Linked DNA regions of Stegostoma tigrinum. The protein of the gene in region 1 purifies or fractionates together with the protein of each later gene. This does not show direct contact. Links are inferred from orthologs where the notes say so. Each region holds a gene or a part of one and is shown in the gene's direction. Other genes may lie near its edges.

What was found.
Region 2: the proteins of med4 (region 1) and rho guanine nucleotide exchange factor 7-like purify together in Homo sapiens (affinity purification with mass spectrometry; 3 studies listed by BioGRID and IntAct, with this or other methods). This does not show direct contact. The link is inferred for Stegostoma tigrinum from reciprocal best matches to the Homo sapiens genes MED4 and ARHGEF7.
Region 3: the proteins of med4 (region 1) and cdk19 purify together in Homo sapiens (affinity purification with mass spectrometry; 7 studies listed by BioGRID and IntAct, counting the BioPlex papers as one, with this or other methods). This does not show direct contact. The link is inferred for Stegostoma tigrinum from reciprocal best matches to the Homo sapiens genes MED4 and CDK19.
Region 4: the proteins of med4 (region 1) and snap29 purify together in Homo sapiens (affinity purification with mass spectrometry; 3 studies listed by BioGRID and IntAct, with this or other methods). This does not show direct contact. The link is inferred for Stegostoma tigrinum from reciprocal best matches to the Homo sapiens genes MED4 and SNAP29.

What each region holds. Positions count from the first base shown.
Region 1 is NC_081365.1:72,826,500-72,834,257, forward strand, and holds the start of med4 (mediator of RNA polymerase II transcription subunit 4), read left to right. Parts: upstream 1-4,741; 5' UTR 4,742-4,847; intron 4,848-7,758. Other genes in the region: integral membrane protein 2B-like, read right to left, coding at 4,421-4,507. UniProt on the Homo sapiens protein: Component of the Mediator complex, a coactivator involved in the regulated transcription of nearly all RNA polymerase II-dependent genes.
Region 2 is NC_081359.1:13,986,419-13,993,259, reverse strand, and holds the start of rho guanine nucleotide exchange factor 7-like, read left to right. Parts: upstream 1-3,834; 5' UTR 3,835-4,230; coding exon 4,231-4,395; intron 4,396-6,841. UniProt on the Homo sapiens protein: Acts as a RAC1 guanine nucleotide exchange factor (GEF) and can induce membrane ruffling. Functions in cell migration, attachment and cell spreading. Promotes targeting of RAC1 to focal adhesions. May function as a positive regulator of apoptosis.
Region 3 is NC_081357.1:24,441,887-24,449,522, forward strand, and holds the start of cdk19 (cyclin-dependent kinase 19), read left to right. Parts: upstream 1-4,633; 5' UTR 4,634-5,453; coding exon 5,454-5,581; intron 5,582-7,636. Other genes in the region: amd1 (S-adenosylmethionine decarboxylase proenzyme), read right to left, coding at 4,007-4,116.
Region 4 is NC_081379.1:7,573,524-7,580,748, reverse strand, and holds the start of snap29 (synaptosomal-associated protein 29), read left to right. Parts: upstream 1-4,222; 5' UTR 4,223-4,319; coding exon 4,320-4,553; intron 4,554-7,225. UniProt on the Homo sapiens protein: SNAREs, soluble N-ethylmaleimide-sensitive factor-attachment protein receptors, are essential proteins for fusion of cellular membranes.

The sequences.
Region 1 (7,758 bases):
GACGATCATGGAATAAGTAAGGAGCAGGCTAAGTAGGCTGGAAAACAGGTTTGAGGAATGGAAAACCAATATAGAACCTGTAAGTTGGAAAAAGATTCAGCAGGATTTTGGTTCCAGTCAGGCAAATTTGCCTGGAATGAGCTTGCCAATTTTGCAAAGACAGAAATAAGCATCATTTAATTTTACAGGCCGGTTTCCTTGGTTTAAACTTCGACTGGAAAGCCAATGTACTAATTTTAAAAAAAATCAACTTGCATCATTCAGTTGTAATGATAACATGTATATGATGCCTTGAAACATCCAAGATGCATAATGAAACTGAATGAACCATGTCACATAACGGAAATATAAACAGATGGATTAAAAATTTGGTCAAAGTAGTTTTTGAAGCACTATAGGAAAGATATTGTTAAATGTGAAAGGGTTCAGAGAAGATTTACAAGGATGTTGATAGGACGACAAAGATTGAGCTACAGGGAGAGGCTGAAAGGGCTGGGGTTTTTCCCCCCTGGAAGGTCAGAGGCTGAGGGGTGACCTTATAAGGGTTTTTGAAATCATGAGGGCACAGAGGGTGAAAATCTCTCTTTTCAAAAGAAAAATCAAAGAATCTCAACAGTGTGGAAGCAGGTCATCAGCCCATCAAACTCACACCAACCCTTTGAAGAGTGTATCATTCAGAATCAACCCCCTACCCTATCCTTATAGCCATGCATTTTCCATGGCTAATCCACCCAACCTACACATCGTTGGACTGTGGGAGGAAACCTACACAGACATGGAGAATGTGCAAACTCCACACAGTCAGGGGGTGGAATCAAATCCATGTCCCTGGCACCATGAGGCAGCAGTGCTAACCAGTGAGCCACTGTGACACCTGTAGCCAAGGTCATTTTGCTTTGGTAGGACAGTACAAAAGAGGGCATGGGTTTAACAATTCTACAACTATCTTAAAAGATGAAAAGCAAGATAGAAACATGAAGATACGTAGGGACGATATTCGAAAGCTTGGGGCCTCAGCAATTAAGGGTACTGCCATCAACTGCAAATGGGAAATGCTCAAGAGGTTAAGAATAAAGAGTGAAGATCTTTCAGATCTCAGGGCTGGAATTAAGTAGACACAGGACAGGGCAAGGTCTCAGCATAGTTTGAAAGCAAGAAAAGGGAGAATTTTAGAAGATGCATTAATTGTGAGTCAACTGAGTTAGTGCAGTTTGATGGCAAGGACATTTGGTGGGTATTATGATAAGCAGTGCATCTCAAGTTCACACAGGTAAAACTGAGGAGGGTGAATAGAAATTTACAAACGCTAGAACAGTCAGATCTGGAAGTCTCAGAAATAACTGAAGGTGAACTAGAGATAGGCAACATTAGAGATAGAGATAACAAGGTGTGGAGCTGCATGAACACAGCAGGTGAAGCAGCATCTTAGGATCAGGGAAGTGACATTGGGCAACATTAGATCATGTGACTGAAAGCTAACCCCAGAGTCAAATATGACAAAGGTTGTTTATACTCTGGCTGAGGGTTAGTGCTGAAAGAGAGAAAGTGATGGATTTTGCAGCCAGGGAGCAGAGTTTGAGGTGGAGATAAGATTATGGCTTCAGATTTTCAAATTCTTAGGAATTTTCTGTTCATCCAATGCTGGATGTCAAATACCATACAGCAGTCTGAATTCAGGGAGAACAGGCAGAAGGGTCAAGAGAGGTAATAGTTCCAAACGTTGTCAATGGATAGTTTATGAAATCCACCTTAAACATTCTGCTCAATTGAAAATGTTCTCAATTTTCAAGTTTTTTCAATTCCTCACATCAAAAAGCATTCTAGGCAGTCTGGGCTGTATACTCCAATATCCTTCCAGAACATGGAAACTAAAATTGTACAATACGTGCAACTGTTATCTCAGGTTCAGAATCAGAAATCTCTGCAGCACAGCCTGGCTACACATCAGTCTTGAGGTTGTTTATGTAAACCAAAAGTTTACAGCTGGAATTCACATATGCACACAGGAGTTGCTGATTAAGTTGTGTTTCATGCCCAATTAATAGCATTCAGCAGAAGCACTACCCTAATATCATTCATTAGCATGACAGGAGTTGGAAATGAAGCCTAACAATTATAACACGACAAACTGCCATGGCATTACCAATGAGCCTGAGATCACATCAGTGTCAGAGATGTTTTTGGCTAATTGTCGATAGCATGCTTCAAGTTATTGGACAAACAAAACACAGCATAATGTACATCAGCTAAAGGGACTAGATGTGTCACCAACATGGTGCAGGTCAGTGAGTGCGAGTATTTTAGAGTACCACCAACCACCTATCCTTGTTGATGCCATTGTCTCTGGTCCTTCAACTTTAAACTTATTATGCCTATTTTAAACTTTAACCACCTCTACCAAATTCTCCACATTACAGTAATGTGCTGTCGCCCCACAAAGCTCCAAGATATTTAAAAAGTGAATTTATGAGAATCCCCAAATTTAATTTCTTCCATTTTGTGGCTATACCAAGGTCCTAAGCATTCTGTCTTCCAAACTCTCCTTACCTCCACTGTCCTTTAATATTTTTCTTAAAGCCTTCTGTACCAAGCTTTCAGAACTCATCATCAACTGGTGTTCCATAGTAGTCTAATGTAGGGTCTCAAGTTGTATGCTAAGGGAACCACTCCAATCTATACAGCAAACCTCTTCGACCACATCAGCTAGAAGGACACCTAGATCTCACATTCTTGGTTCCTGCCACAAAGCTTCCACCTTTCCTCAAATCAAAAGAAAACCATTTTATAAAATTTGTTTTATTCAAAATAAAAAATCATTTGACAAACCTTTAATCACTACTGTGTTCCAAATACAGACAAGACCATTTTAGTTTTGAAAACTACATTTTTAAGACGTGGTTTAAATTTTGAAAAGGCAGTCTATTAAAACCAAGTTATTAGATAGGCGTGAATTCCTGGATTTGGTCAGCAGGGAGAAGAGGGTGAAGAAAGAGTTCTACTGTGTTGCTGGATTGGTGGCAAGGCATTCATGCCTTGGATTACAATGGCTTCTCTAAATATCTTGAGAAGACAGGCCATAAGCACTTTGCAAGAATATTTCATATTAAATTGAAAGCCAGTAAAAACAAAAACAGTCAGGGCGTAGGAGGAGCAGTTTAAATTATTCTTGCAATTAAAATGTTTGTAGACATCAAGACAATAAGACATCAAGTATTCACTTCTTCCTCAAATAACAGTTTACAGGTGTTTGGGAACAGGCCATGTGCACTACCATTGCCCAGGTTATGGAAATGGGTCCATAGAGTTTAGCAAGGTTCTTTTGTCCTAACATTGCCTCTATAGGCAAAGTGTCTTTATGTGCCTCCTGCATTTTGAAAAATTAAAATTGCCAGATCTACCAAGTTGGTAATGAAACTGGCAGAGTCCTTGCAGAAACAGGAGATTAGGAAATCTGAATGCCAAGCTAGCAAACTAAGCAGAATCTTTTGCGAGCAAGAGTCCAAAGTAGCTTGGTTCCAAATTAGAACAGAACTTCGGGTCCCGTCATGTAGCTACGAAAGTTGAAAGTGCAACCAGAACAGGCGGAAAAGTCGAGTGGGGAATTTTGGTTCGAAGTGCAAGTACTTACTAGTTAGTTAACAGAACTTTCGCTTTTTTTTGTCAAGTTCGAATTTTCTGCCACCTAAAAGATCTAATGCATGGTCTTCTCTATGCTAAACCATTTCAAAAGTTGACTTTTTTAAAAAAAAAATCCAGTTCATCAGAAATTGTAACAATTGATAATCTCTCCCGTTGTTTTCCCCGAACCCGACGTACTTCAACAATGTGACAGAAGATTTGTGCAGACACCCTGATATTGAATCTGAAAGTTGTAAGAGCGTGCACCAATAGGATTTTTTTAAAAAGTGACTTTTTTTCCCTGTACCACCCCACCTAGTGAGGGAACATTCACCAGTCCCTGATCGGATTTCCCCAAATCCAAAAGCAGAAGTGGGGTTGGCCCATATGCAGGGTATTGGGCGATCGCCAAGCGTGCGTGGACTTTTCCCAACGACGCCGATGCCTCCTCCGCGGGGGGGGGGGGGGGAGGGAAAGAGACAGACAGTCAGGACGAAGAGGATGGGCCCCAGCCACACCGTCAGCCATTTTACAGCGAACGGTCGAAGTCGACTCCTTCCCACATCCGAGGACAGGGACTATGACCCGGGCTCAATATCCAGGGACAGCTGATGCACGGAAGGGCAAAGAGATCAGGCCACCAAAGGCCGCATTCCGGGTCACAAACTGGAAATCGAAAGCCCAGTCCCTGGTTCCAAAAACACTGTCCAGACTTTGTCCAAGGTCCGGCAATAAACTGAAAAACCACGGACAGTTCATCCCCCTCCTTTCCCCAAACAGCCCCCGCCCCCGGTAAACGTACCTTCTCGTGGATGACGAGCGCCTCGTTGTTCTCCTCTTTTTTAGGCTCCTTCTGGCTCAGCGAAGAGTTAAAGGACACTTTCACCATGGTGGCAGTACGAGATGGCAGCGCAAACCCAACAAAAACACAACTCTCGGCTCGGCGCACTCCGGACTAAAACCCACCCCGCTTCACTTCCAGCTGGACCTCGGAATCATCCGCATGACGCAGCTCACAAACATAAATATCCGACCGCGTTCAGCAAGAAGATCCCAGGGAACGCTGCCCCGCCCCCATGTGTCGTGTGTGTGTGGGGGAGGAGGGACCTATGAGCCCCGCCCCAGGGAGGAGGGACCACCCAGTGGGCGGCACGCCCCGTCCCGCCCTTAGGGTAAAGGACTCCTGCCCCGTATGCCCAGTGGGCGTTCGAAGGGAACGTTGCCCTCAGGTAGGTGAAGGTAAAGGTAATCAGTGATAATGGGATCTGCAGATGCTGGAGAATCCGAGATAACAAAGTGTGGAGCTGGATGAACACAGCAGGCCAAGCAGCATCCCCGGAGCACAAAAGCTGACGTTTCGGGCCTAGACCCTTCATCAGAAAAGGGGGATGGGGAGAGGATTCTGAAATAAATAGGGAGCGAGGGGGAGGCGGACCGAAGATGGATAGAGGAGAAGATGGGGAGGCGATAGGTCAGTCCCGGGAGGACGGACAGGTCAAGGAAGCGGAATGAGTCGTTTATCTGCAAGTCGCTCGAATTGGGTTTTCGTGGTGCAGTGGTAACTTTAGACTAGGAGACCTAGGTATTTCCAGTCTGGCAGTTAGATGCACCATTCTTCTGCCATTCTGATATTCCTATCACTTAATCTAAACTATCAACAGCCTTTCTCCCCCAGCACTCGAACCCCTCCCCAACTGTTGCAGAAGTGCTGCTCCCCCCCCACACCTGACTTCAGTTCTGATAAGCTCATCTAGACTCTTAAACGTTAGCTTGCTTTCTCTCCATGGACGCTACCTGACTTGTTGTAGTCTCCAGCATTCCCACAAGCCCCAAAGATATCCAATAACATCTCTGAACAGAGATAGTAGGAACTGCAGATGCTGGAGAATCTGAGATAACAAGGTGTAGAGCTGGATGAACACAGCAGGCCAAGCAGCATTGGAGGAGCAGGAAGGCTGGTGTTTCTGGCTTAGACCATTCTTCATAAATCTCGAGACTCAAAACGCAGCCGTCCTGCTCCTCTGATACATCTCTGAATGTGTTGATTAGAGAATAAAATAAGACACTAGAAATACAGCAGGCTATTGAATGAAATGTAGAAAGCTAAGGAGCAATTCGAAAATAAGGAAGGGAGCTATGATGTGGACATCAGAGTTTTTGGGTAAGCACAATGTTATTAGATTAGATTCCCTGCAGTGTGGAAACAGGGCCTTCGACCCAACAAGTCCACACCACCCCTTGGAGCATTTCACCCAGACCCATCCTCATCCCCCTATAACCCACACACCCCTGAATACTATGGGCAATTTAGCATGGCCGATCCACCTAGCCTGCACATTTTAGACTGTGAGAGGAAACCAGAGCACCCGGAGGAAACCCACGGAGAGAATATGCAAACTCTGCACAGACAGTTACCTGAGCCTGGAATCGAACCCAGGTCACTGGTGCTGTGAGGCTGTAGTGCTAACCATTGAGCCACCGTACGTAGAGAGGAAGCTGGGAGATCAGTCAGAGAATGCAACGATCAGATACCGTTGGGCTGCAGGATTCCCAAGCAGAATATGAGTTACAACGACGCCACCCGAAGGTTGCAGGAACAGCAACTCATATTCCGCTTGGGAACCCTGCAGCTCAATTGTATCAATGTGGACTTCACAAGCTTCAAAATCCCTCTTCCCCCACCACATCCCAAAACCAGCCTAGCTCATCCCAGCCTCCCTAACCTGTTCCTTCCTCCCACGTATCCTCTCTTCCCACCTCAAGCCCCACCCCCATCACTTACCGATTAACCTCAACCCGCCACCTTTTTCTGATGAAGGGTCTAGGCCAGAAACGTCAGCCTTCCTGCTCCTCTGATGCTGCTTGGCCTGCTGTGTTCATCCAGCTCTGCACCTTGTTATCTCGGATTCCCCAGCATCTGCAGTACCTATTACCCTTGACCTGTCTGTCCCTCCTGGACTGACCTATCTCCTCCCTACCTCCCCACCTACACTCACCTTTACTGGCTCCATCCCTGCCTCTTTGACCTGTCTGTCTCCTCTCCAACTATTTTCTCCTCTATCTATCTTCTATCTGCACCCCCCCCCCACCGTCTCCCTATTTATTTCAGAACATCCTTTCCTTCCCCCATTTCTGAAAAAGGATCTAGGCCTGAAACATCAGCCTTCCTGCTCCTCTGATGCTGCTTGGCCTGCTGTGTTCATCCAGCTCTACACCTAGTGCTGTGAGGCAGCAGTACTAACCACTGAGTCACCGTTCTTTGGACCTCACTGACAACTTGTATTGCAATGCTCCTGACAGGCCATTAGAGACAGACCCATCTCTTGCATGGGAGCAAGCTGCATCTCGAGGCTTTTTGCTCGTTCCCCTTAGCATTTTGGGACTGTCTGGATCCTCACAGCACGTCTGTCCTGCGTTGCCTTCCTGCATATTGCCGTATCATTCAGAAAGGGTAACCCTTTAATATTTCTGTCTTGCCTGTCTTTCATCAGGGACACAAAGCTAGGCAGCTTGTCATGGTTCAACAGTTACCTTTGACTTGAATGAGGACTACTGTCTTTAAACTTTGAAACATGGCATTCAGTTAAGGCACACTTAGTGCTTTAATCACACAAGCTGCCTACAGGCTGTAAGTATGACATTGATATAGCATGATGCAAGACAGTTTTATGTCCACCCCCTTGACTGATCACTTCTGACAACCATGACAAGCTGCCTAGCTTTGTGTCCCTGATGAAAGACAGGCAAGACAGAAATATTAAAGGGTTACCCTTTCTGAATGATATGGCAATATGCAGGAAGGCAACGCAGGACAGACGTGCTGTGAGGATCCAGACAGTCCCAAAATGCTAAGGGGAACGAGCAAAAAGCCTCGAGATGCAGCTTGCTCCCATGCAAGAGATGGGTCTGTCTCCAATGGCCTGTCAGGAGCATTGCAATACAAGTTGTCAGTGAGGTCCAAAGAACGGTGACTCAGTGGTTAGCACTGCTGCCTCACAGCACCAGGGACCCGGGTTTGATTCCACCCTTGGGCAACTGTCTGTGTGGAGTTTGCGTATTCTCCCTTTGTCTGAATGGGTTTCCCAGGGTGTTCTGGTTTCCTCCCACAGTTCAATGACGTGCAGGCTAGGTGGACTGGCC
Region 2 (6,841 bases), on another chromosome or scaffold:
ACACACCTGTAAACAGAATGGAAGGAAATAGTTGGGAACTGTTCCTTCAATCACAGGCTGCTCTCTCCCAAGCTTACTGCTGCTAAGTTCACAGTGAGTCCATCAACAGCAAATGTGGGAGGGTATCAGCCTGCATTTGGAGGAATGAGGTCAGTGGCAGAGCTAGTGGACAGAATAGAAACTATGCTGGCCAGGCGGGGAGTGATGTCAGTGAGCAAAGCCAGCAAGACTGTGAGAGAGGCCTCTCAGTAGTGGGTGTGATACCAGGACCTGTGCAGCCAAGCCAAAAGCCTGGAGGAAATGAGGCTGTAAAGTTTTGAGAGAGGTGGGTGTGTGTGTGTATGTGTGATGGGGGAAAGACCCTCCAAAGGTTGGAAAAAGTACAAAATGGGAGAGAAATGCTGCAAAGGGAAGAAACACTTTTAAACATTTCAAGAAAGATATACTGTCCTAAATGGGAACATGAGAATAAAACAATTTACTGTTTGGGGAATTCCTTATGTCTGACCTGCTCATGTAAACACTATTTTCTGAACAATGGTAATCCTCAGGATTGTTGATTTTGGAAGATTCAATGTTGGTAATACCATTGAACGTTAAGGATGAATGGTCAGATTCTGTCTTGTTAGAGAAAGCTATAGCCTGGGGCTTGTATGATGGAAATGTTACTTGACATTTATCAAATCATAAATTTCCTGCAATATTGTGGAAACTTTAAGGCTGCTGCATTGGGTGGGGTGGGGGGGAAAGTGAAATAAATATTGTGTCAATTGTTTAATACTGTACTGTTTAATTTCATAAAGACTGACATTTATGTGTTATCATACCTCAAAGTGTTTCACTTACTGGGAAATACTTGAGGCCATGTTGGAGACAAACATATAATGGTTTTCTTGTGACCTCACCATAGAATCCGAGAGTGCAGGAGGAGGTCATTTGGCACATCAAGTCCACATCAACCTCATAAAGAGCATCCCACCCAGCCCCAGCCCATCGCTGTATTTACCATGACCAATCCACATAATCTGCATATCCAGGGAGGAAACCCATGCAAATTCAACATAGTCACCCAAGGCTGGCATTGAACCCATAATCCTAGTGCTGTGAGGCAGCATTGCCAACCACTGAGCCACCATGCCACCATCTGCAGAAAGCATGTTTCGTTTGATGGCTTTTTTTTCTGGATAGAAGTGGGTCAGTTTTATATTTTAAAAATACTTGTTGCCAATTTATGTCTAGGGCCAATTTAAATACCAAGATGTCCAAGAAAGTAATATTTTCCTTAAGAGTCTTAAAATTTTAAATTTAATGGGGGATAAATTTAATCGGGGATAATCATGAAAATTTGAGTTCTGCCTGTGTGCGAATCTAAATCCTCAGCATATCAACATGAAGATAGAAGATACTGTTACCAATTATTATTGTTGTTACTACTCACTGCATCACCTAATGAAGGTGTACATGACACTGTGAAAGGGACACTTGAAAATTTTAAAAAAGCCCCATTAAAATTAAATCAAAAGGCATCAGCTGCTTCCCTCCATCAAAAGGTCAGAGGTGGGGATGTTTGCCGATGATTGCACAATGTTCAGCAACATTCACAATTTGTTGAAGCAGCCCACGTAAGTATGTGGAAAGACATGTCCAACACTTCAGGCTTGGGTTGATAAACATTTACACTACACAAGTCCCAAACTATGGCTGTCTCTAACAAGAAAGTATCTGACCATTAATCCTCGATGTTCAATGGTATTACCATTGCTGAGTCCTGCAAAATCAACACCCTCAGAGTTACTACTGACCTGAAGCTTAACTGTACAAGCCATACAAATAGTGCCAACATGAGGAGGTCATAGACTAAGAATTCCCTGGTGAGTAACTCACCTCCTGACTTCCAAGAGCCTGCTTACATGGGACAAGTCTAATGGACTGCTCTCCACTTGACTGGATAAGTGCAACTCCAAAAACAATCAAGAAGTTTGACAAGGCAGCTGCCTGCTTGGCATCCCATCATTCCTTTCACCACAAATGCACCATACCAGCAGTATGTACCATCTACAAGATGCACTAAGTCTCCTTTCACATCAGCTTCTAAACCTGCAAAACATGGAATAACGGTAGTGGATGCATGAGAGCAAGATTGCCTGGAAATTCACTCCAAGGCACACACCAACTTGACTTGGAACTAAATCACTGTTTCTTCAGTGCCATTGAGTCAAAGTCCTGGAACTCAATGGCTGACAACACAGTAGGTGTACCCACCACCATGGGCTTCAGCAGCTCAAGAAGGTAGCTCAGCATCAACTTCTCGAGTTGGTGCAAGAAATGTTGTCCTAGCAAGAAATGTTCACATCCCATGAGATTTTTTTTAGAAAATAAAATTCCTTTAACGATAACATGTGCAATACAATTGTTCTCTAGCCTACTCCAACCAGACATTGGGAAGGCGAAAGTCATCTCACACAGTTCCTGATTCTCACTCTACATAGTCATCTAGAACTTTATTCCTTTGTGGCAAGTTTGCATTCATTCCTTGTTCATAACTGGCCAAGGAGGAACTCCATGGCATTCAGCCAGTTGAGTATTTACAACAATCTAGAGGTTTGGTGCCAAGCTAAAAGTATCAGGTTTATTGAGTTTTTCTTTCTACCCTTTACATTGTTAACTTTAAACTCACCACCACACAATGTTTCCTAATTAGATCAGGAAAAGAACTAGCACTGGTCTCTGGTCTAACTCATAAACATTTCTGGGGGGTTGGGGGAGAGAAGAGAAAGAGGACTGGGGTTTTGGACGGGAGAATTGTTTCGGGGTTTGGAGGGTTAAGGGTGAGGATGACCAGGAGGAGTTTGAGAGCGGTGAGGACAGAGATGATGAGGATTTCTATTTTGGGGAGATGACTAACAAGGAAAATGTCTTAGTGGGTAGGAAAGAGAGAGTGGAGAGGCGTCCACAAAGCATTGGATTATGTGGTCGAGCCCATTGAGTCTGGTCTCCAGGGAATTCTTAGCCTATAGCCTGTTCATGTTGACATTTGTATGGTTTGTACAGTTAAGCTTCAGGTCAACAGTAACTCAGGATGTTGAATGGCTAATCTGACAGTCTTGAATATCACTTTCCTGGCTTTCCCCATAATCCTTGTTATATTGACTAACTAAAAATCTGTTTATCTCAGCTTTGCATATAGTGAACAGCCCAGCATTGACAGCCTCGATGGTAAAGGGAAATATGTAGACAATGGGTGGTACGGAGGGTCTGAGAAGGTAAAGGAAGTATGCGGGGGGGGGGGGGATGGTTGGGTTGAACGTCCATACAGAGGGGACAGTGTGAGATGAGATGTGGGTGGGGGAGTTAGATGTTGCGAGTGTGGGAGATGTGGAGGGGGTGTGAGATGCCGGGGTTTTGGGGGTATGGAGTGAGATACTGGAAGTTATTTCGAGTGAGGTAGTTGATGTTAACTACCGTTAACTACCCCGGGGTAAGTTTCCAGGGGTAGATGTCTGGGTGGGTTAATTGTTGGGGTGAGGAAGGGACTAGTTATCTGGTCGGGGATGGATGTTGGATTGGGTTGGGGGTAACTGTCAGGGTGGGGACGGTAGTTGTCGATTTGGGGAGGCAAGTTATTGGGGTAGGAAGTAATTGTCGGGTGGCGGGGTGGGGGTAATTGTTTGGTGTTGGGTTGGAGAGAAATTGTCGAGGGTTGGGGTAATTGTTGGGTGTCGGGGTGGAGGGTAATTGTCGGGTTGGGGGTATTTGTCGAGTGGGGGGGGGTAATTGACGGGTTGGGGGGGTATTTGTCGAGTTGGGGGGGGTGTAATTGTCGGGTGTCGGGGTCTCCGGGCCCTCCTCTATTGCTGGGTCTCGGGCGGCACTAGAGGGCGGCAGGACCCGGCTTCGGGCTCAGTCTGAGCGGCGGCAGTGGGCGGCAGGTTCGGAGCCGCGATCGTCCCGGAGAAACAAAGAGAGCCGCCCCGGGGGCAAGGAGGGAGGTTACGGGATCAGAGAGATCCCAGGCGATAGCCGTCCCTTCCGAGACACACCGGCTCTATCAGTACCGAGTGATGCCGGGCTCGCCGCTTCGGAGCTGGGACCTCGGGAAGCAGTGAACCGCGGGGACTGGGAAAAGGCGGCGGCGGGGATTGTCCCGGGGCCCGGGAAGGAAAAGGGGACTGTTGTCCCGGGGCCCAAGGCTCGGATCCCTGCACTCCCGGTGAATGGGGATCGGTAGCGATGAGCTCCGCTGAGCAGACGGTCACTTGGCTGATTACACTCGGGGTCCTGGATTCCCCCAAGAAAACAGTGTCGGACCCCGAGGCTTTCCTACAGAGCTCCCTGAGGGACGGGGTGGTCTTGTGTCGCCTCCTGGAGCGCCTGGTGCCTGGATCTATCGACAGGGTGAGTAAACCTGGCGGTGCTGACCTCCCTCCCCCGCCCAAAAACAATCCCGACGTCTACCTGTGTCATCGGTGTATACCTCTACCCCAATGCCACCCAGATCCCAACAGGTCTTGTCCCTTTCTGTCCGCACCGCCCCAGGGGATCTGGGGATCTATTTTACTCCCTCATCTGTGGGGATCTGGCCTCTCCCACTCCACTCCCCATTCCCACTCAAGAGTGGGATCTTCCAGCATCATTCGCTGTCCTTTTCCAGCTCTGGGCTGTCTTGCTCCCCAACTCTCCTTACCCCATTCAGGATGTCTAGATCCCACATTCTCATAGATGGGGTGCCAGAGGCTCTGTGGTGTTAACATGCTGAAGGAGATCTGACTGCCCTCCCACACTCCTTAACACCATCCCCTTAACCCAAGTACAGCCGATACGAGGTGCCTGTACCCCACATGTCCAGACATAGCTCACTATTGCTAAACTTGAGGTTCTGTACTCCTAATCCTGTCCATATCCGTCACCCTGAGAACTGCACTTGAGCCACCTGAAGATCAGGAACTGTATGCCATATCAGCAAACTCCCACCCCAAAACGCACGCACAAACATCTGGCAACAAAGTGAATCCCCTATTACCCTTCACCCACAGACTCTATAAAGCTCCCAAACACCAAAAGGGACACTACTTTCTTAGGGCTCTCTTCTCTCCTGGGGCTTATAACATTGTACTGATTATCTCTTGGTTCTCTAGCTGCTCTTCGTGAACACTGTCCCTTACGTACAGGGTAGAGGATGGAGAGGGAGATGTCTAAAGTATTGTATCTTCTGGTCCTGGAGTTTACAACTTTGGCTTGTGTTCCATTGAATATGAAAGATTAAGTTTGTAGTGTTTTATGATTATAATTATGAGAGTGAGGTAATATAGATATACTTAAGGTGATCAAAGAACTGCAAATATACTAATCTAAATTATATAAGCCTTTCACACCCTCAGCATGCCTCAATATGAGCAGAATGAGATAAACTGTTTCCTCTGGGGAAGTTCAGAACAAGGGGGCGTAACCCTAAGATTAGAGCTAAATTGTTCAGGCATGATGTCTGGAAGCATTTCACACAAAAGCTGGAACTTTTTCTCCAAAAAGATGTCATGCTTGGAGGTCAGTTGTAAATTTCAAGACTGACGTAGATTATATTTTCAGGAGTAAAATGCTGCAGGTGCCGAACATCTGAAATAGAAACAGAAACCAATTCAAGTACACAGTGGTCTGGCAGCATATGCTGTGATGAAAGATCATTAATTTAAAATATAACCTTTCTTTTTCTTTCTGTCAATTTGATTTTTGTTGGGTAAGAATATTGAGAAAAATGGGTTAAAGGTGGGTAGATGGAATGAGATCCAGATTAGTCATAATTGAATTAAGATGCTGATGGTCCTCCCATTCCTGTTTAAACTAATCCATAGTGTTTGGATCTATGTTCTGCCAGGTAACACTACATGACCACTAAGTCCCACAGTCTCAAAGTATTTTTAATTAATAGATTTTGCTTGTCTGTCAAACAAAATGTTTTGAGATTTCTGACATCTTGAGTTGGTTCTGTATCTAATGACAGAGCTTGGATTTCATTTAATTTATGAGCTGTATAGGATGGACTGAGCATCAGTGCCTACTAGGATTCAAATCATTTGGGTGAATGAGAAGGAACTGGGAGGAAAATGTTTGCTTCTCACTGCTCAAGTAAAATCAAATGATTTTAATCATTCTGTTCACAACTTTCACGTTCACACCAGGACATTGCGGCCAGTGATACATGTTTCAAATGTGGCCACAGTTGTAATGCTACTTGAATCTGATCCACCATTCAAAAAAATCATGGGTGATCTGAGTGACAACCTTGACTATCAAAAATTAATCAGTCTTGATTAAGTTTGATGACCCAACGTCCACTGTTTTCTAAGGAAGGGCACATTACAAACTATCGATTGTCTGATAAAAAACTTTTTTCTTCCTATCCATCTTAAAACGCAGGCTTCCTGTTTTTAAGCTGTGTCTCCTGAAGGGAGTCTGTTCGGCAATTAGAAACATCCTCCTTTATCCACCTTATCAAGACCCCTCAGGACCTTTATAGCTTCAAATAGATCACCACTCATCTTTTCAAGTTTCAGGGGTAGGGCCAATGTGTTTGACTTTTCTCCATAAGTTAAACTTTCATCCCAGGAATTAGTCAGTTGAACCTTTTCTGAATTGCTTCGGATCTAATGATCTAGCAATAATTTTCTCAAATGAGGAGTTTAAACTGTACAGAATGCTTTAGATCTGACCAAGGCCCCATACAGCTTGCGGTATAGCTTCCCTACTTCTATATTCCCTTGCAATAAAGAACAACATTTCGTTTGCCTTCTTCAAAATTTGCTGTATTTGAATACTGGCATTTTGTGACTTGTGTACCAGGACACCC
Region 3 (7,636 bases), on another chromosome or scaffold:
CCAAGCAGCATCTTAGGAGCAGGAAAGCTGACATTTTGTGTCTAGACCCTTCATCAGAAATGGGGGAAGGGGAGAGGGTTCTGAAATAAATAGGGAGAGAGGGGAAGGCGGATCGAAGATGGATAGAGGAAAAGATAGATGGAGAGGAGACAGACAAGTTAAAGAGGCAGGGATGGAGCCAGTAAAGCTGAGCGTAGGTGGAGAGGAAGGGAGGAGACAGGTCAGTCTAGGGAGTACTGACTGGTCAAGTGGGCAGGAAATGGGGGTGCGGCTTGAGCTAGGAGGGGGGATAGGTGAGAGGCAACAGATTAGGGAGGGGGGGATGCAGGGGGGGGGGGGGGGGGGGGAAAGAGAGAGATTTTGAAGCTGGCGAAATCCACATTGATACCATTGGGCTGCAGGGTGCCCAAGTGGAATATGAGTTGCTGTTCCTGCAACCTTCGGGTGGCATCGTTGTGGCACTGCAGGAGGCTCAGGATGGACATGTCATCTGAGGAATGGGAGGGGGAGATGAAATGGTTCGCAACTGGGAGGTGCAGTTGTTTAACGCGAATCAAACGTAGGTGTGCTGCAAAGCAGTCCTCAAGCCTCTGCTTGGTTTCCCCCGATATACAGGAGGCCACAACAGGTACAGCAGGTGCAGAGTCTCAAACTGCTGCCAGGAAGAGGAAGAGTAAGATGTATACTACATTGGCAGATGTGCAGGTGAACATCTGCTTGATGTGGAAAATCTTCTTGGGGCCTCTGATGGGGGTGAGGGAGGTGGTGTGGAGGCAAGAGTAGCACTTCCTGCTGTTGCAGGGAAAAGTGCCAGGTGTGGTGGGGCTGGAGGGGAGTGTGGAGCAGACAAGGGAGTCACGGAGGCAATGGTCCCTCCGGAAAGCAGACAAGGGTGGGGAGGGGAAAATGTCTTTGGTGGTGCGGTTGGATTGCAGATGGCGTAAGTGTTGGAGGATGACGCGTTGGATCCAGAGGTTGGTGGGATGGTACGTGAGGATGAGGGGGGATTCTTTTTTGGTTGTTATTGCGCGGACGGGGTGTGAGGGATGAATTGCAGGATTTCCAGCTCATTGCATCCCCGCCTCCCTAACCTGTTCTTCCTCTCACCTATTCCCTCCTCCCACCTCAAGCCACACCCCCCTTTCCTACTTACTAACCTCATCCTGCCCCCTTGACCTATCCGTCCTCCCTGGACTGACCTATCTCCTCACCTACACTCAGCTTTACTGGCTCCATCCCTGCCTGTTTAACTTGTCTGTCTCCTCTCCATCTTCAATCCGCCTCCCCCTCCCTCCCTATTTATTTCAGAACCCTCCTCCATTTCTGATGAAGGGTCTAGACACAAAATGTCAGCTTTCCTGCTCCTAAATTGCTGCTTCGCCTGTGTTTATCCAGCTCTACACCTTGTTATCTCTGAAAGTAATGCCTTTGGTCTTTTCAATATTTAACATTTCTGCTAATTCAATATTGGATGTCAGATTAGCATCAATGAAATCAAGACTGGAGTTGTCAGTGTACATCTCCGTCCCCTGCTTTGGGGAAGTGTTGGGTGAATTTAAATACAGGTTTTTCAACAACCTTCCCTCAAACTACATTACAGAAACATTTTATTGTTTGCAGAGCCTTGTATTGCTTCTCTATTTCAAGTCTCTAGTCTAGAGGTTATGAAATAAAGTTGAGGTTGTGGAAAGTCTTAAATGACGAGTTCTTTCTTTCAACCACGGCCTGTTAACACCTCCCATATGCAGCGTGAACGCAGTAAGTATGATTTAATATAAACAGGCTTTCAGTAAGCCATGAAGGTAAACTTCTCAAAAGTCCAACTTACACTTGAAATCAAACGACGTTTGGCTGATCCACGTCTTCACACATTTGTTGAGAACGGAGATTTGTCATTAACACTGCGTACGTTTTAATATCTACCAGTAATTCGACTTCAGGCATTCATCTAGACCCGCCATCAATCCTATCTGCTGACGATACGAAAATAGCAGGAAACGCAGAACTGGTGACAACACATTAGAGGGAGGGAATCTCAAAGAAAAGGAGACTTTTCCCGGTGCTCAGAGAGGGCGCTATTTGTGGCTGTAAAATGAGACAGCAAGAGCTCAGCACTGCGGTATCGATTGATGGGAGTAGGCGACCGGCCTTTGTACAATGGCACCCATGTATTGTACATAAATTTAAAAAAAGGCGAGTACAAGGGGGCAGGTATTCCCCAACCTGGGGAAAGAACTTGCCAAAGTACTGGGAGAAAACTGAATTAAGTATTTTAAAAGTGGCCAACTCGCGGACGTCGATCGGACAATTCCTGTTCAGTGTAGAGAATCCAGTTTGAATTTACACTAGTCATGCTGAACTATGAGGCAACCACAACAGGCGCCGCATGGGGGGGGAAAAAACTAGGCGTCTGTAATTTCGCTCCTCCTGCTGTCCTTGCGATCAGCAGCATATTTAACTCTGGGAGGGTCGGTTGCTACCCACCGACTGGAAAAGGCGCAAACATGTAGTTTCTGCAACAGGGGGATGGGGAAAGGCTGTGTGTTAGATAACCCAAACACGTGATGTGCCCGCCAAAAAATACAGACCCCTTTCCCCATACATTCACCGAGCAAGGTTTGAGAGATGAAGTTGTTGAGCAGTAATGTTTAATACCTTGGTCACCAACGTTCCCAGTTTGGAATGCTGCTCATATAAAGGTAGCGTTTCCTCAAACTCAGTCACACCTAACTTCCACCTAGTTTTTTTTAGAAAGCGAGAAGGACGGACAACTCCGCTCAGTGCAAGATATACAAAAAAGTCTTCAATCATTTTGGAGAGCGTGTTGACAGATTTCGACCCCATGCCCACCAAGAAAAATGATCCAAGAAAACCTCCTTTCATCCAACACAAAACATGGAGGAACAAATTCACCGACTTGCCCATGTTCCTCTCACCAGAGGATTTATTAAATAATTTATGAATAATTTATTTATTAAATCATTTGTGAATTAAGTAATTTATTGAGTACACGTGGAGTGCATTCAGCCTGACTGTACCCCCCTCCCCGGAAATCACGGTGCACATTTAAAAAGGACAGACCCCTTTGAAAGGAATGGGCACGTTTTCCCTGACCGCCAGAGGGGGGAGAGTTAGAGAGAGAGAGAAGGTACGGCCCTGAACAAATGAGACCACGACTCAAATTCAGGAACAAGCGTGAGAGCAGCCAATCCAGCACCCCCAAATTCCGTCAGAAACTGCGGCTGGCCACCTGTTACTAGGTTGGCCAGACTTCTAACTGAAAACACACGCACTCAAACCATCCCCCAACACATACACACACAAAGTGCAGCTTGGCAGAAAATGGCAGCAGCGGGGCAGCAAAGAGGGCGAAGAGTGAGATGGGGCCACGCCCAGCGCCCGCCGTTCGAAATAAATCAGGCAGGAATCGGGGGGCGGGGAGAGATCCCGCATCCCGTTCAACCTAAGGGTTCCCACACACACATCCACCTACTCACCAACACACCTACACCCCACAACCAGTCAATAAATACAGATATTGCAACACCCTCACCACTCTCCACACCTTCACACACCCCAGCCCCTCATACATCCCCAACAGACCCACCCCATATACACACATTAACCTGGCCTCTTAAATCCTGCCCCCACTCCAATACAGGCTTTTGAATAAGGAATTGATAAAATAATCGTTTAATTTTGAAGGAGGGAACAATCCAGGATTCCCTGCCTTAACACTGATTCCTTTCCCTGGTTTTTTTTGGGGGGGGGGGGGGGTGGAGAGAGAGAGAGAGAGAGAGATTGATTGAGATTTGTGGCGTATCTCCTTAAACACGGTGCTTCCCCAACCCCCCCTGGCCGCCAACACACCCACACAACCCAAGGCCAGAGAGAACATAGAACATAGAGAGCGCGTTTAAGTGTCCCCGGTCTGAGTTGGTGCGTTTCTCCCCCCACCATTTTGCTGTTAGCTGATATTATTGTTTTAATGATATATGTATTTTACCTTGGAATGGTCCGGAGGTCTCCCGATCCCGTGCACAGATCCTGCTGCCGAGAGAACCACACCTCCAACAGCTTCTCGGTCCCTTCGAAAAAGTGTGCACCGTTTTCCATCGTGAAACAAACGAGAGGGGAAAGAAAAATTCGCCCCCTCCTCCTCCCTCTTTTCCCTTCTACAAATTCTATTTTCTCTTTTAAAAAACCTCCCCCCCCTTTTTCCCCCTCTCTCTGGTAAAAAGCTTAATAAGTTAGTGTCAATTGCTCTGTTTTAGTGGGTTCTTGAGCGGTCCGGTTTCTGCTTTGCTTCCCTATTTTTTCAAGAAAAAGATTTTTTTGTTTGTTTTTTTTATACATATATATATATAATGTTTCGTAGTTGCCCCCAATGCGATCCCTCTACACAGAGAATTGCATCCAGCGAGCGCTAGCTAATGTCGCCGGCCATACTGTGACTAGCAGCGAGACGTCCGCCGGCGCCGGCTTTTATAACCTCCGCCTCCCTCCTTTGCTCACCACCCCCATCCGCTCCAACCCAATCACTTGACTTCTCCAAACTGTCTGCTGCACCGCCCTCTCTACCGACGGCACAATAGAACTGCTGTGACGTCAACGGCCTGGCTGGAGCTGCCCCTGCCCGTTCCCTCCACTACCGTCACCATCACCAGTCGAACGTTCGGCGCGAGACCTTGCGCCCGGGCAAAACCGTTAGTGGAGCCGCGCGCAGATCGACGTTCCAATTCAACTATAAAAGTTGCACGTTTGGAAGGGGCGGGGGGAAGGAAACGAGAAGACATTGCAAATAAATTGCCCCAAACCTCTTTAACGCTCGATAAAAGCCATCGCACGATTTCATCTCACCCTCGTTTTTTCGGGCCGATTCCTAACGCGATTGGTTCGTTTCGCAGTCAGTCACGTTTATCGCAGTGCCGTATCGCAAGAAGGCGGGAATGTAACAGATACATTTTAGTTTTTCCGAACAAAAAGGGATGTTGAAGGTTTATTCCGATGTGTATTTGAATATCTTATCGCTGTTTATTGATTTCAGTGTCCCGGTGCTTCTTCACCCTTTCCCACCCCCACACCCGTCTGCTGCTCTGCTCGGACTAACTGTTTTTACTTTTGGATCCGAAAACGGTTAAAACCGTCCGCAGCAATGAGCGACGGGAGTTGTAGTCTTTGACCCCGGGATGCAGCCGCGCTAGTCAAGGCCCTGCCGAAGCTCTAAGGACTACAAATGCCGGCATGCCTCGCGGTCCGCCATTGTCTGCCGCTAACGTCAACATAACAAACCCATGGTTAAATGTCGCCGGGCGAACTTGTTGGAAGAGACAAAAAAAATACACACGAAATAAGGAAATGATCGGTGCTCAGTTTAAATAATCCAGCCCGTTTCCCTTCCTCCCCCTTCCAACAGACATTGAAAGTATTTATGCATTTATGGAGTGACAGTCATGGATTACGATTTTAAGACGAAACTAGCAGCAGAGCGAGAGAAAGTAGAAGATCTGTTTGAATATGAAGGTTGCAAAGTGGGTCGTGGTACCTACGGTCATGTTTACAAAGCAAAAAGAAAAGATGGGTAAGAAATCAGTACCTTCAGGCGATTTTGTGAGGTGTTGCTGCAGGCGCCCAGTAAGACTTATCAGAGTATGCCTTTTTAAAAGTTTATTTCTGGGTTACTCAGTTCACGTGCTGCAAGACCAATGTTGATGTTTCTGGTTTGTAAATATATCCTCACACCTTGTGTTTACAACTCCTTATTGTAACCCGTTTAATCAAGCCGAGGCCTCCAGCCCTCATAACCATTGTTTTGGAAACTATGTATTTATTGATAGGTTTATTGGTATGATATAAAACAGACTACTTCTTCGGTTTTCTTTTATTCTAGACTTTGTATAGTAATTTTTTCTCGGCTGAACGCCAGCTGTTAAAGCAGTGCTGCCCATAATATAAGACTAAATCACATTTCGGAACTGTCAAATTAAAATGTAGCTTGTCTTCCATGTTTCACAACACTCAGATACTTAGAAGTCCTAAATCTTGACCGTGTTTTTGAATATTAGGTACTGTATTTTGTAACTGTAGTCATAAGTAAGTAATGAACAACGTATTTACTTTTATTCTTTGACCGAACTGTGCGGTTTACTTCCGTGCATAAAATTAGATATGATAACAGCAATTTGCATTGATGTGTCAGTTAATGTCGACTTGGGTTCCAAGGCAGAGTGAAAGTAGAAATGGGGCTGACCATTCGTGAGGAAGTTAGATGAGTTGACATCTGAATTCTGAGGAAGGGTCACCGGACCCGAAACGTTTAAGGGTGCTGCTTGACCTGCTGTGTTCATCCAGCTCTGCACTTTGTTGTCCCGAAACGTTAACTCTGTTTTTCCCTTCACAGTTGCTGCCAGACCTGCTGAGCTTTTTCCAGCAACTTTGTTTTTGAGTTGACTTAGAGTATTGTTCGAAATCTGGGGTTCCTCAAATAATCTGCCGTTAGATCCTTTTAGAGAAAGAGTATAAATCCTTTGTTATGAACTGCATCCCTCTCCATGGCAACAGTTTGATATTAAATCAATCTCTTTGCAATTCTAGTGTTATGTCAGATCCAGTAGTGAGCTGATATCATATTTGTGCCACCTCAAAGACAGCTTGATCCATTTCTAATATCTTTTGACTTAACCCCCTTCTCAGCTGTAATCCTCTTCTATGCTTTCATTACCTATAGACTTGATGATTCCGATGCACTCCTAATATCCCACACTTTGCTCTTCATAAACTTGTGCTCAGGGAGATTTTGTGGTGCAATTGTTAGCCTTCTTGCCTGTAATTCGCAGGCTTTGTGTTCAAGTCAGATGGTAGGACTTGATGGATTTGAAAGATGGGTTCATAACATGGCAAAATGGTTGACTATCAACCTGTAAATCCTTCTGACGCCTTTAGCAGGCAAAAAGTGTAAAAAAGATTCCTGATCAGCCAGAATTGTGTGATATCTGCAACACAACAGCGTCTCCACACTAAAAGACAAGCTCTTGTTTCACTGTGCTAACTGACAAATGACAGGCAATGAGATAAACCTGTGATCATCTAAAGTACTGATTCACATGTCTTCACTGCAGCAGCACTACCCAGAGCAATTCAATTGTTGGTGACTGTAAGCACTAGGGATCCAGGAAGATTAGACAAAGGGAAGAGGTGAGAGTGGGATTCATGATAGCTAGGTTAGTGGGAGCTGAGGCTGTGGGTGTTCATTTTGGAGAGGGTGTCAGTGATATGTCAGCCCCTCCAAAGTCCTGATTAGGGTAAGCTGTGGGTCCCCAACTTGCCATTAGTCCCTGAACTCTTCTTATTAGCCAAAAAATTGCTGTTGAGTGGGTACAGGCCCTGAGTGACCAATAATTAGTCATTGAAGGCCTGCAATGAGTTGATGGTGGGGGAACTGCCCCAGGCTAGGGCTGACACCTATGTAGTTGTGTACAGGACAGGGGAAGTGGCGTGAAGCCAGCTGTGGAATTTGTGGGCCCCACGCTGTGTAGCAATTCTACGACCCCACCCAACACCCCTCCCTATTGTCAGCATGAATTATTGAAAAATTAGAGCCTGTTTTGCTCCACCGATGCTGTGTATCCAGTTTTTC
Region 4 (7,225 bases), on another chromosome or scaffold:
CTCAACAGTCAAAGGACACATCCTGTCTAAATTCATGTATCATGTCCTTGTTAACTCTTAATGAGAGCCCCTCTCATTCTTCTAAACTCTGGAATAACATTTACCCATTTTCTTCAATGTTTCAATGTAAGACAATCCCATTCTTGAAGGAACTAGTATAGTGAACCTTCATTTCTTTTGTCCATAGCAAGTATATTCCTTATTTGATAAGGAAACAAAATCTATCCACATCATTCCAGCTGCAGTCTCACCAAGTCTCCAACAGCTTTTTTTTTATATTTACTTGCTGGCTGGCCAGCATTTATTGCCCATCCCTAGTTGCCCTTGAGAAAGTCATGTTTAAAACCTGTACCAAATCCTCTTGCAATGAAGGCCGAAGTATAATTTGCCTTTCCAATTGCTTGCTGGCCTGCACCTTAAATCTTTACAATTTCAAAAGGACACTCAGTTCCATTTGGACATCAATATTTCCCAACCTCTCACCAATTAGGAAATACAGTGTTTTGTTTCTACCACAAAGTGAATCACTCTACATTTACAGGTTCATAGAGATGTACAGCACAGAAACAGACCCTTTGGTCCAACTCGTCCGTGCCAACCAGTTATCCTAAATGAATCTAGTCTCACTTGCCAGCATTAGGCCCATATTCCTCAAAACCCTTCCTCTTCATGTACCTATCCAACTGGCAGAGGTATTCACCAACATCTTCAACCTCTCCCTCCTACACGATGAAGTCCCCACCTGTTTCAAGAAGACCACCATCATTTTTATAGCTAAGAAAGCACATGCAGTGTGCCTTAATGACTACTGCCCAGTGGCTCTGAACTCATTAATCATAGGATGCTTCACGAGGTGGGTCATGGCCCACATCAAGTCCAGGCTCCCAACCTGCCTCAATCTCCTACAGTTTGCCTACCAACATAACAGATTCACAACAGATACCATATCCCCAGCCCTGCACTCATCCCTGGAATATGTGGACAACAAAGACATGTACATCAAACTCCTGCACATTGACTACAGCTCTGCCTTCAACACCATTATCGCCTCCCAGACTGATCTCAAAACTGTGTGCCCTTGGTCTCAGCTCCGCCCTCTGCAACTGGACCCTCAGCTTTCTGACCCAAAGACCACAATCAGTGAAGACTAGTAGACAAACAGGAGTTAACAACGTGTGGAGCTGGATGAACACAGCAGGCCAGGCGGCATCAGAGGAGCAGGAAAGCTGACGTTTGGAAGTTAGAAGAACACAGCAAGCCAGGCAGCATCTGGAGGAAAGCAGCAGTCAACATTTCAAGTATTACCGTTCTTTGGGACTGGATGTGGTGGAAGGGAGAGCTGCGGATGAAGTGGGGAGAGAGGTGGAGTCGGAATGGTAGTGGCAGGTGGACATTGGTAGTAGTTACAAACAAAAACCAAAAGAACTGCAGATGCTGTAAATCAGGAACAAAAACCAAGTTGCTGGAAAAGCTCAGCAGATCTGGCAGCATCTGTGAAAGGAAAAACAGAGTTAACATTTCAGATCCGGTGACCCTTCCTCAGAACTGATGGTGGCTGGGAAAACATCAGTTTATATGCAAAAGGAGGAGTATGGGCTAGGGAGTAAACAATAGGATAGAGCCTAAAGAGAAAGACAGTTGGACAGACAAAGTGTTGATTACAATCAGGCTGGGAGGGCGAATAGTTCTTACTGGGGACCATCAGTGACTAACAACACCGAGTGTAATGGCAAGCTTATGTGTTAACAAAGCCTGGTGTGTGGGGTGGGGGGCTAGGACATGGGAGAGTTTAGGCCCTAAAATTACTGAACTTGATATTAATTCCGGAAGGCTGCAGGGTCCCCAAGCAGAAAACGAGGTGTTGCTCCTCCAGCTTGCGTTGCAACACTGCAGCAAGCCAGAAACAGAGATGTTGGCCAGAGAACAGGGTGGTGGATTAAAGTGGCAGGCAACAGGTAGTTCAGGGTCTTTTTTGCAAGCAGTACGTAGATGTTCTGCGAAGCAGTCACCAAGTCTCTGTTTTGTTTCCCCAGTGTAGAGGAGACCACATTGTGTGAGTGAATGCAGTAGACTGAATGCTGGGAAGTGCAGGTGAAGTGTTGCTTCACCTGGAAGGTGTGTTTGGGCCCTTGGATACTGTGGAGGGATGAGGTAAATGCGCAGATATTACACCTTTGTCAGTTACAGGGGAAGGTGGTGGGTCTGTGGAGGGGTATTGGAGGTGAAGGAAGTGTGGACCAGGGAGTCCCGGAGGTAACGGTCCCTGCAGAAGGTGGACAAGGGAGGGGAGGCGAATATGTATCTGGTGGTGGCATCTCGCTGGGGGTGGTGGAAATGGCATCTGATGATGTAGTTGGTATGACCTGGTTGGTTGATGGGAGGGACGAATCTGGTCAGTGGCTGAAAGGGAGGGTCAAAAGGTGGAATGGAAGGGAGGAGGAGGGGCTGGAAGGGTAGCCTGGGGATGGAGTACAGTTATTTGAAATTAGAGAACTCAACGTTGAGTCCTCCAGGCTGTCAGGTGCCCAGGTGGAAGATAAGGTGTTGTTCTTCAAATTTGCGCTCTGAGTCATTGAGACACTGGAGGGGGGCCAAGGACAGACATGTTGGAGGGGGAGGGGGCAGGGAAGTTGAAATGGATGATCACCAGGTGGTTAGCTTGGCCTTTACAGGCCAGGCAAAGATGCTCAGCTAAACAGTCACCTAGTCTACATTTGGTCTCACCAACACAGAGAAGACCACATCGGGAGCACCTGATGCAGTAGACTAGTTTTGAGGAGATGCAGGTGAAGCTCTGTCTCACCTGGAAGGCCTGGATGCAGATGAGGGAGTGGGGCAGGGGGCGTGTGTGCAGGTGTTGCAACTTTTACAGATACAGGGGAAAGTACCGGGCAGGTTGGAGTTGTTGCTGGGGACTGCGGTGCGACTAAGGAGTGGCAACGGGAATGGGTCCTCTCGATGTCAGCAAAACCAAAGAACTGATCATCGACTTCATAAAGAAAGGAGGAGAACATGTCTCCATTTACATCAACGGAACTTAGGTTGAGAGGGTGGAGAGCATCAAGTTCCCCGGACTGACGATAACTGACAACCTGTCCTTGACTTTCTACATAGATGCGATGGTCAAGACACAGCAACACCTCATCTTCCTCAGATGGCTGAAGAAATTTGGCATTTCCATAAGGTCCCTCATCAACTTCTACAGACGCACCATTGAAAACACACTGTCCAGGTGCACAATGGCCTGGTATGGCAACAGCCCAGATCATCACAGAAGCCAACCTTCCATCCATGGACTCTATGTACATGGCCCGCTACCGCAGAAAGGCTGCCAACATCTAAAACTCTTGTGTTAGGCAGAAGATACAGAAACCTGAATAAATGCACCAGTGGGTTCAGGAACAGCTTCTTCACAACTGTTATTAGACTGATGAATGGACCCTTCAGCCTCAAATAATGCTGATCTTGCTAATATTGATCTTGCCTTGCACATGCCCTGTGCAACATAACCTGTATGCCTCTATCTAAGACTTTTTACAACCTCTGATCAGCACAACCTAGCTTACTATGATCTACCTGTACTACTCATAAACAAAGCATTTCACTGTACTCTGGTATGTGACAATAAATCAGTCAATCAGTCAATCCAGATGTCTGCTCATCGTGTCCTTGCCCATTTATTTAGTCAATTCAGGTTCACCTGAGCCTTTGTGCAACTTTGTCACAACTTAACTAGTTTTGTGTCAACAATAGGTTTTGAAATATTACATTTGTTTCCCCAAGACCAAGTTATTTATATATTTCATGAACAGCTGTGGCCACAACACTAACCCTTGAGGTACCCCATTGGTAAGAGGCTGTAGCCATCCTGAAAATGACCTGCAGATTCCTACTCAAGTTTTCTGTCTGTTAACCAATTCTCAACACTTACCTGTGCGCCCAATCCCACATACTCTGATTTTGTTCGATAAACCTACAGGGAGGGCGAAATGAAAACCTACTGAAAATTCAGATCAACCTGAAACGTAAACTTTTATATCGTTCCCTCTCCGCACGTGTGGAGCCTTTCTAGCAGTCTGTGTTTCTACTGAATTTCAGAGAAGTCAGCCAAGACTCTTTCGGGTGGGAAAGCATGGGGCTGGGGGTCACGTAACGATGCTGGCAGCCAGTCTCAAAGATGGCCGCGCCCTTGGCGTGCATCACCCGGGTGGGGTCACGTGTGGTGAGTCCGGGGGTTGTCAGGTGACGAGGCGCGGTGGCGGGGAGAGCCCGGAGAAGGCGACGAACTCGGTACCGACGAGACCGATCGAGGGAAGGCGATGTCGGCTTATCCCAATCGCTACAACCCGTTCGCCGAAGAGGATGACGAGGAGCAGGAGGGTCGGCCGGCGGCGGACTGGGAAGACGGGGCGGCTGGGCCCGCCGCCGATGATGACAGGCAGTGGTCCCTGAGGCAGCAGGTGCTGAGGAGCGCCGACAGGGCCGTCCAGAGCAGCGGCCGTAGCGTGGCCCTCATGTACGAGTCCGAGCAAGTGGGCACCGAGGCGGCGAAGGTGAGGGATCGAGCCTGAGGGATATCCGCGGCCTGAGCTCACCGCAAACAACAGATTCTAAATGAGGCCCTTCAGCCCGTCGCGTTGATGCCGGTCGTAGTCCTAGTAGCCCAACGTAAACCATGGAAACAGGAACTTTGGTCCAATTTATCTGTGCCGAACAGAGATCCTAAATTAATCTGGTCCCATTTGGCCCACCTACCTATTTATGTACCCATCCAGTTGCCTTTTAAATGTTGTAATTGTACCGGCTTCCACCACTTCCTCTGGCAGCTCGTTCCATTCGTGCTTCACCTTCTATGTTTCCCACTCATGTCCTTTTTAAATCTTCTCCCTCTCGCCTTTTTAGGTTACCTATGCCCTCTAGTTTTAAACTTTCCTATCCTGGGGCGGGGGAAGGCCTTGACTATTGACCCTATCCATGCCCCTCATTATCTTATAAGCTTCTACAGAGGAAATAGCCCCAGTCTCTTCAGCTTCTTCCTGTAGCTCCAACCCCCACAACCCTGGCAGTTTCCCTGAAATTGTGCAACTTGAAACGGTTCAGATGAAAGGTCCTGACCCAAAACCTCGACTTTCCTGCTCCTCTACTGCCTGACCTACAGATGTCCAGCTCCACGCTATTGACATCATCATCAAGCATGTATCTATTTCTAAGAATAGACAAAAACATAATGTACTGGAGAAATTTGCCATGCCTTCCAGCATCTGTGGAGAGTGGCTTCCCCCTGCCCAAGTCCAATGACTCATCTATTTTATGACTTTTCCTCAAGTTCAATGTAGTCATCCTGCTTCTAGCCTTAAAACTGTATATTTTTGTTGTAGACCCTTTTTACAAAGTTTCTCCCTCTTTGCAGTTTCCACAACCCTTGTAACTTCGTACACCTCAATCATGTTCCCCCACTGCGTGTCCTCTGCCTTTTCCTCTTTAAGGAAAACCCCAGCTTATCTCATCCCTCTTTGTAGTTGAATTACTCCAGCACCAGTGCTATCTTTTAACAACATTCATGAAAGTTGTACACTTCATTTAAAAAGGAGACTTCTTTTGCCAGTTCCTGAAGGTAACAGGGCATGGCTTTCCATAGACAAGTCAGTGAAACACGAGTGTTAGTTCTTGTGCTGGAAGCAGAACTACAGCAAAAGCAAGATGTTAACGTAGGATCAACTGAGCAAGAAATGAAAGTGGAAGTTACGTTCTGGATTTTGCTTGAATTAAACATCAATGTCTCTGGGTTCTAGGAAAAAAAGTGAAAGCTAGAAGATGCTAAACCAATGCTAGACCCCATTAGTTTGATTTTTTTTTGGTAGTACGGGCGAGGGCATTTTAGCTCAAGTTGATGCATGATGTGAACCTGTCCGTCCTGTTCTTCCTGCAATAACCCTTTAGCTCAGTTTGTTTCTTTCAATTCTGCCTACTTTCATTTAAATTGTAGATGTCTCTCTGCTACCATCTTGAAAACTAGTAATCTTACAATCATTACACACACAATATATAAAAGAAGTTTATCCTCCCATTCCTTGCAGGAATAGTAGGTTTCATTCCATACACCACATTTTAGGAAGGCCTGTGAAGGGCTTTGTATACAGCTAAGATTTCAGAGTAGTTCCAAGAATGATGGGTTGCTGGTGCTGCATAAAGAAGGGACGGTAGAAGGGAGATTTGCTGGAGATGTTTAAGATCAAGGAGGAATCAGGAAATGAAGAGAAACTATTTCCAATGAGCAATACTAGAGGAAACTAATTAAAGGTTACTGGCAAATGAGTTGGATGTAATGGGGCAGGAATTTTTGCAGTAGGCAAGAATTTCAAACCGCTTTCCTGATAAGGTGGTGGATATGCATCAGATTCAGAAGACATTTGGGGAAAAATACATGAGGTTAAAAGTTCAGGAATATAGGCCAAGAGTAAGGGGTGGGAGGAACTGGATTGTTTTGCAAGAAGTTGGTTAACAAACTCAAACACTCAATTTATTGTATTGGGTATGCTACAGTAACAATATGAGACATGTTCCCACATTGAGGTGAAGGTGAATAACAGATAAGTGGGACCATGAAAGAGAAAGGAATGGCTGACCTTTACCCATTCCTCTGTCTGACCACCTATTTTCGCTCTTGCTGTCATTCTGGGCTCCATTTCCACTTGTCGTTTACTTCCCCACCTGTTCTTTAGTCCATGTACCAACTTTATTCCAGTTACTGTCAGTTCTGAGGCAGGGTCACTAGGCCCAAAATGATCATTCAGATGCTGTCAGACCCTATTGAGTTTTGCCAGAAATTTGTTTTTGTTTCTGATTTCCAGCATCCGCAGTTCTTTGTTTTTAAGCAATGGAAAGTAGTTGATCGCATGAGATGAGTAGTGTGGAACATAAACGCACAAACTTGTAAATCAACTGTCAAATTACTTCCCTTCTGAGGAAGGGTCACCAGACCCGAAACGTTGACTCTGTTTTCTCCTCCCCAGATGCTGCCAGACCTGCTGAGCTTTTCCAGCAACTTTTTGTGTCAAATTAGTTTGTTGTGTACACCCTGTGTAATACAGTACATGATCCTGGTTTCCATAATTGCAAGATTAACAGAAGAAAGTGACAACAAGAACTGAACAGCTAATAACCATCGAGAAGATCTGAACAGCCAGGGGCTCTTTTGAAAAAGAAAAGACCGTGTAGTGACCTG